Bombyx mori: one gene and its partner. The protein of the gene in region 1 interacts with the protein of each later gene in a pairwise test. Links are inferred from orthologs where the notes say so. Each region holds a gene or a part of one and is shown on either strand. Other genes may lie near its edges.

The links.
Region 2: the proteins of calcium-activated potassium channel slowpoke (region 1) and tyrosine-protein kinase Src64B interact in binary tests that used the Drosophila melanogaster proteins (3 or more experiments, as listed by UniProt). The link is inferred for Bombyx mori from reciprocal best matches to the Drosophila melanogaster genes slo and Src64B.

The regions. Positions count from the first base shown.
Region 1 is NC_085115.1:13,419,295-13,422,950, forward strand, and holds part of calcium-activated potassium channel slowpoke, read right to left. Parts: intron 2,703-3,656; coding exon 2,531-2,702; intron 2,300-2,530; coding exon 2,075-2,299; intron 1,705-2,074; coding exon 1,410-1,704; intron 1,003-1,409; coding exon 866-1,002; intron 426-865; coding exon 289-425; intron 1-288. UniProt on the Drosophila melanogaster protein: Potassium channel activated by both membrane depolarization or increase in cytosolic Ca(2+) that mediates export of K(+). Its activation dampens the excitatory events that elevate the cytosolic Ca(2+) concentration and/or depolarize the cell membrane.
Region 2 is NC_085117.1:16,955,836-16,960,254, reverse strand, and holds the start of tyrosine-protein kinase Src64B, read left to right. Parts: upstream 1-1,509; 5' UTR 1,510-1,769; intron 1,770-4,419. UniProt on the Drosophila melanogaster protein: Tyrosine-protein kinase that may play a role in the development of neural tissue and smooth muscle. May contribute to tyrosine phosphorylation of Dscam1, a cell surface receptor involved in targeting of growing axons during eye morphogenesis.

The DNA.
Region 1 (3,656 bases):
GTTTGAAGGGTGGGGCAGCCGTCGTAACTATACTGAGAACTTAGAACTTATATCTCGAGGTGGGTTTTACGTTGTGGCCCACAGATATCCACATTTACGTTGTGGATGTCTGTGGGCTTCAGTGACCACTTAACACCGGGTGGGCTGTGAGCTCGTCCACCCATCTTAGTCCTACCATCTAGGTCCTACCACCAGTGATTTCAATGTTTTCGTTTTTAACGATGCGAATTTGAAAAGTCGTTTTGAGATCATCGAGTTTGGTATTTGTTTAGTGAGTAGTGCGGAGACCTGTTGGCCAGACTCTCGGGCGTGGAGTACCCGCCGCGGAGCCCGGCACCTTCGGCGAGGATCAGCTCCAGCTCGGGGGTCGCGCCGCCCGTTATCAGCGAACGGATCAGTGTCAACGCGTTTTGGTTGAAGTACGTCTGCAAGTTCGAAATTGGTCAAACTTTGGGAAACCCGACTAAAGATTCATAGATTTGCATAACATTAATGGTAATGTTAATTTAATTATCATTTCCGATTTCGGGAGTCGTAGACATAAATAAAACGATTTTTGCGATTTAATCTCGCGTTTATTTTTGTCATTGTTATCGAATACTTTGCGGTTTCCGTACGCCGTTACGTTCCGTTCCGTTTACGCCTTACATATCATGTGATTTATTATCTATGGGTTACGGACTGAGATGTTGTTCTTTGACATTTGATTATTGTGACATCTGTCAATAAATTAATGCTGCAAAAACGTTCAGTGACTCGATTAACAATATTCACGTTTTGGTCACATTGAATTAGCCGCGGAATATCCTACAAATTTTGATATATTTCGATGGAAGATTAAAATGCTGATTTAGCCAAGTCTTACAGTGGACATGAGAGAGTCGAGTACGCTGACGGCAAACGCAGTGCCGCAGGCAAACGGTTGCGTCAAGTACAGCTCCGTGTCGGGGTCGTCGTCGTCGTCCTGGTCTAAGAACTGCACGTTGCTATCGTTCACCAGCTCTGATGAGCAGAAAGAATATCATTATTTTCAAATGGCACTAGACGAGGTCGGAGACTCACTTGTATACTCGACCGCTCCGCGTCATAAATAGGCAGAATAGTAGTAGATACGTGGGTAGACTGGGGAAAAATTGGTACCCGCTCGCAGGATTTGAACTTTGGTATAGTTGCATCTTATCGTATCGTATGTTCTTTCACCTCATTAAAACTACTTAATTAACATTAACATAATTAATCTTTCAAAATCACACGACGAGTGGCACATTAGGCTATCAGTCTACATCACTTAGGCGAAAATCCAGCGATATTCCTCCCACAAAAAAAAACGCTTCTAAAATTTTTCAAAAATGACACTATATTATATTAATATTCTAGAATTATGTCCTCACATACTGCGGTCAGTGTACCTGTAATCATAGGTACATTAGCACCGTATACGGATCCCCTCCTCTGTAGCAGCACGGGCGCGGGGGGCTGGCCCGGCAGCGGCTGCGCGTTGCTGCCGTTGGCCCCCGCGCCGGCGCTGAGCACTCCTATCGTGTCGTCGAACGTCATCGCCTTGATGTTCAACGAAGCCAAGATAGCTTCCTTGTCCGCCAGTGTAGGGTCATCGTTCGATGGCACCTTCGCTGACAGGATACAGCACATGTCGCATAGGTTCACGTTTACTGCACGCAAGTCGGCCCGGCTTAGCGGTGAACCCTAAACAAATATACCGAACGATCATTGTTGACTGTCAACTTCAGCTGTTCAATTTAGCATGCTGATTCGTAGACTTGAAGATAATCAACTTGGCATTGACCGGGAATTAAGTGCTATCAATATCTTTATATATTATTTTGGTGGTTTTCTTTTCCTGGTTGTTTGGTCGTCAAATATCGCATGACAATATTAGTCTTCTTTGCAATTCGCCACTCAAGCAAATGAAATATGAGGTATGGCTAGAAACCCAGAGCGAATCTATGTTATAAGTAAACCGTTTAGAAGTAATTACATTATGATCGCGTAGATTGAGACAGATTTAAACAGGATCATAACCTCACAAAAACTAATGCTCGTTAAGGATACTCACATTCAATACAGATATCTTCGGAAGATTCTGCAACATTTTCCATTCTCTTCGTATGTAGTCGACGCTTCCTACGATAACCACGTGTTTCAACTCGTGGTAGTGGAAATTGGAGGCTCTTAGCGGCATCACGAGATTCCTCAAGCCGATCAGTGGCGAGTCTGGATCCGCGAATAGACACACGACAACGTGACCATTTAGAACCGTCATAGCCGCTTGGTTTCTGTCCTGTTGAGATTTTCTTTATTTAATTTACGGTATCGGTAATTTAATATTGAACATTTTTTCGATAAGCATAAGGTTTGGTGAATTTCACTGGTCTATCTGGGCCCGGGTTTAATGCTGAGCGGTCAAATTCTCCATAGGGATTAAATTATATATGAACATTCAATTAGTACGTAATGCTTTTAAATTAATTTGTTAGAGTGATAATTAGGTAAAACTCAAAGCTCTACTTACTAATATACAATCTTCAAGATTCCTGGCAGGGCTCCAATGGAACATGCCTGTTGAGTCGTATTTCATTTCAGTCTTTTCAAAGTCGAAGTCTTTCGACTGGTCGTCTGCCAATCCAGCAGGCAGACTAACTCCATTGCTGTTCTGATTACCCCCACTGCTTCTGCTAGTAGGCCTGTCGAGTCATCCAAAACATTATTCCTTTCTCGATTTCTATATCTCTAACGAATTTCGTGCTAAATTGCGGGTGATAAAACTTAAATTTTATGTAAATTCAAACATGATTACTTGCTTTATTTTTAACGTGGAATTTTTTTAGTTTTATTATTTTATTTCATGCACTGTGGTCATATACTATAGTCAATGTATTGTGAAGAAGATCGTGGTACCTACTAATGTAGTAATAACAGTATAATATAGACTACGCAATTTATGTATTAATAATGTACTCGATCGGTGACTGTACTGTTTTAAACATAGCGAGAAAACGTGAAAAAAAACGTAATGCCTATTTATAAAAGTCTAAACAGAAATTATTTCTGAACTAAACTTTCGTATTTCTATAAAACCAAAACATGCTATGCTCCTAGATAACAGTGCTAAATAATATGAGTAATAAATTTTATATTACAAACCTTTCATATTTATCTACAATTACATGAAACGGGGGTAAACGTGACATAAGCTCTACGTACTACGGAAATTTCTGGAATACAACAAAAAAAAAACAAAAAAAAACGGTAATGTGTACAGGAGAAGTAATTGTATCGACAAATTACTTTTCTATTTTTATCTATTGATTATTTTACTCGAAGTGTATCTTCAATTTAATTAAAATTAAATTTATAGTTTAATCCCGCGTTTTTTTTAAATTTAATTATTATATGTAGGATGTATGATTACATTACAGTGTTCGTAGTTCCGAACATCTAAGGTGTCAGGCGTCAGCATTTGGCTCCCGTCACGTGTCAGTAATCATAAAATGACATTAAAAAACGCGGGATTAAGCCGTTCAAGTTAATTTTGGTTATGTCTCCGACCCGTGAAATCCGAAGAAAATGCTGCTACATCTTCAATTCCATAGAATTCATTGTTAATTGTTTTTATTAGGACTTTATTAAGACACGTT
Region 2 (4,419 bases), on another chromosome or scaffold:
TTTTCATAAAAATATGAATATAAATTAAAATAAGACATGACTTAAAAAAGTCTCAATTACCAGGTCATAAAATCCCTTAAAAAAAATGAATTTAGAATGGATTTAGAGATGGGATAGGCGGCTTAATAAATCGAACATTTGTAATGTATTGCTTACTGTTTAACCAGGCATAAGAAAGACTTTTTCAAATAAATAAAAAATGTGTGCCGTCACGGGACGCCTGGCAGATCTGAAACATCGACATTATTTTGTAAAAGTAATAAGCAGAAAATAACAGATTGTGATAGGAACTAAATATGCCTTAATGATAAAATAAAATATTACGAAAAAATAATTTGTTTTCAAGTACAACACAGGTTATGTGTACTGTAGTAAACAACACTGTATACACTACGGAGTATACACTATAGGTATCCGAGCTCAGTGTAGCGAGAGAGATGGCTTAACGCTGGATCGAGTGGGAGAGAATCGCACAGTCGATTGCGCATGGCGACGCGTCGTCATGGCATGCGTCGCCACGCCAGAAATCGGTTTTACGTGTGGCTATAGATGTTTCACATCAAAAGTAAACGTATTAAATACACTCTTTTGATTATTATCACCACTAAAACATGAATAACGGTGCATTATCCTAAAAAGTCTACTAAAGTTTAGTGTGTTTGTTGTTTTGCGTACTTATTCGCTAGTAACTTATGGGGCTAGTCTCACGTGCCGAGTTCAACCTTAGTAAAATTTTGATCATTTCATAGCGTTTTTGCCCAAAAGACGTGGCTTTACTCATATAAAAAGGATTATTTGACTATATGGGTTACAAATAAATTTATCTATACTTTATTTTTACTGAGTACTTTATTTTTAAGAGTAGAATACATGTACATTCGTCATCCACATCACATCTGACTATAGTTTTTTTAGGATTGTAGGATTACTGGTGGCTCAGAGGCCTTCCCAATTTCACCAGGATAGGTGGGCGAGCAAGGGCTCAGCCAGAGGGGTGGGATTTGTTAACAGCTGCCAAAGCACCTCCAAAGGAGAACTGGCCACAGAGCAGCTGCTTCGCGAATGAATCTACTACTGGATCGGATCGCGACACGCTGAGAAGATCCGGCGAGAAACTCATATTAAGTTGCACGTCGAACTCTTTGCCGAGTTCGACGAGTACCTAGTGTTAGAGCTGAAGGCGTCTAATGCAAAGGTTATTGGATCTGATGGATCCGTCAGGACGTGTCTAGGGCGTCGGCGGTGACTGGCTCCTGCGTGATCAGGAGTCAGGAAGTAGTCAGCGGCGGCAACGATTAGGCGATAATTATGACGCAGTCTGTTTATAGTCACGACTGGTTGCATGAGGAGTTAACGTTAAAGTTAAAAAAAAATCAATAATTTATTTCAAATTAAATGTTTTTTTAAAGTACATATATGTTGTTTAAAAAAAAATACAAAGCCGTGTAATAAGCAAAGCTTTTGTTTTTGGAAAAAATCTGTCAATTTCTGATCTCTATATTTCGGAGCAATGACCTAATGACAGCCAGTATCTAATGATTTCGGCACTTGTTAAGGTAAAGTAAAGTTTTCGATATAAGAAATTAATGATTGTTCTTAATTCGACTATATTAAATACGTCATATGCACATTTTTGTTTTTAAAAAAAAGTTTGCATCATAAGTGCTGTATTTATTAATAGTCCATTTAAATAGAGATATTCAAATATTGAGTGAGTTGTTGTTTGTGTACAAACTTTATTAAAACTGCCGAATTTTATGAAGACGAACGTAAGTAATAAAACTTGTGCTTACAAAACATTTTCTCTATATTTTTTTCCGATACATTGTGTACAATAATTAATTGCTGTAGAATTGAGCGTCAAAAACCGACCATGTTAATGTACCATGAATGGTAATAATATTTACATGTAACAAATATAAGTATGTAATAATAATATAATGATAAATGCTAAAACTTAAGTATTAAAAAATAAATAAAATCATAAATTATATTTATAAATGAATTATTATTAAATTAAGAATATATTAAAAAAATCGACTATATTACAGAATTAAGAATACATTAAAATAATCCTTATTTATAATGACATTAAGATAATAGGATTATTTTAATCTAATTTTATTACGAAATATTTAATACATCTATCTATATATCTATTTAATATACTATATTATTATGTAGTAATATGATAACACATTAATTGATTTAAAAAAAAATTGGTGATTTATGCTAAACTGCTGCCAGATTATGGAACTCTTTTCTAACCTCATTGAAACATAGTACTCAGGAGACAGTGGAGAGGAGTTAATTCTCAAACTGGACGATGAGTGGTAATACAAGCTTACTCTCAAAATGCACTGTGGCTGAACGCAATAGTTCTAAGTAGCAAGGGTAAACTTTACTCCAGTGGTAGATAGGGCAATAGTAAAACGGTGAAGATGGCATTGTTCCAAACAATATATTTTGAGTGAATTAACCTGTTTACTATATCACAAGGTATTAGTATTCTGTTCTCGTCAAATGCTTCACAAAGCTTAATGACTATGCTCACCTGTCCTTTTTCTACTGTTAACATTACAACTAGTAGTGTCCAACAATACTGAATGGATCAAGTAGATCAGGTCAGGTCATGAGGATAAAAGATCTTGAGACCTAGATCATCGTGAAGGTCTACATTCTTCACATATCACGGTACTCACTTTTAAGATTTGGAGAGTCTGTGAGGGTTGCTGCCATGTGAGCGATATCTGAGCTTATATAAATCATATAGCCATATTTTAAAAAGTAAAATTGTATGTCTGTTAACAAAAAAAACTTGCAGCATGCCATTGAAACTGCTAACTCTTGCTTTTTCTCCTAACAACACACAAACGGTTAGTTGATCTCACAGGCTCAATCTGAGAGAACTTAGCTAGAGTAGGTCTAGCAAGACCAGTGCTCTGTTAAATTTACCACAGAATTGGAACTAGAAGTTACAATTGATTAAAACACCCGCGGTTGCATAGACCGGAGACGAACAAGTAAACACAAAAATTTATATTTAAGAGTATAAATTTGTAGGAGCCTAAAAGCCGTTTCAGAATAAACATTGAAAAATACAACATGACAGATGCATTGACTATATCAACGCTTGAAAGGCAAACTTGACTAAGCGACAATAACTGCTTTGTACATAAATGATAGGCAATAACCATATTCGATGCGCAAAAAAAATATATTTCTCATCATCATCATCATCATCATCATCATCATCATCATCATCATCATCATCATCATCATCATCATCATCAACAGCCCACAGTCGTCCACTGCTGGACATAGGCCTCTCCCAATCTACACCACTGAGCCCGGTCTGCGGCTCTCCTCATCCACTTCGTGCCGGCCACCGTGCGGAGGTCCATCTAGCCAGGGGGCGTCCCACGTTACGTCTTCCGCTGCGCGGTCTCCACTCGAGAACCCGTCTGCTCCAGCGATCGTCAGTCCTACGGCATATATGGCCAGCCCACTGCCACTTCAGCTTGCTGACTCTTTGAGATATGTCGATGACTTTAGTTTTCTGTCGAATAATCTCATTCCGGATTTTATCCTTCAGAGAAACTCCGAAATATAAATATAAAAAATATTTCTAGGTCTATTAAAATCATTTCAATCCTACAGCTACTAGCTAGATTCTACTACAGCTAGATTCGTTAAAATAAATTTTGTTTTCAGGTATTTCAACTTTAAATTAGTCTACTGTAAAGTTCACGCATTCTCGCTTAGTCACGTTTGCCTTTCAAGCGTCGAATTATATTTGATTCAAGAAAAACATAATTTCACGTATGTACGTATTACGTATTAAACGTATACGGCTATTAAACATGATTTCCATTAACATTCCTATTCTGTGACAGCGTCTCGGTGGCGCCCAGTAAGGCGCCGGATTTTCGACGCACAATGAAAGAATAGTACAAACGGACGTGGGATCCTTGTGAAATAGGCCGAAAGGGATAACGAAATAGCTTATTATGTATCGAAACACGATAACAAAGGGAAATAAATTTATGCTTTTATTACGTTTGTGAAGGTTGGAACGGATTCTAGAAGTTTTTCAGATTTTCATTCGTTAATAGACTTACGTTATCTAATGCCTTATTTATGTGAACAAAGAAAAATAAACGGTAGGTTATAATAATAAGATGAAATACAAAGGCACTAATGTTTCTTTTACAAGTCTATCGTTTCCGGGAGACCGACAAGAGAAGTATCAGAACCATTAAAAGTGAAGTATACAACAAACGTTATCATGTCTACTAACTCAAACACAAACTCACAAAATAATTAAATAAAACCTGAATTAAATGAAAGAATTATATTATATAGACGTTAATTTTATTATTTATATTTACCATATACCATCCGACTCTGAAATGTACT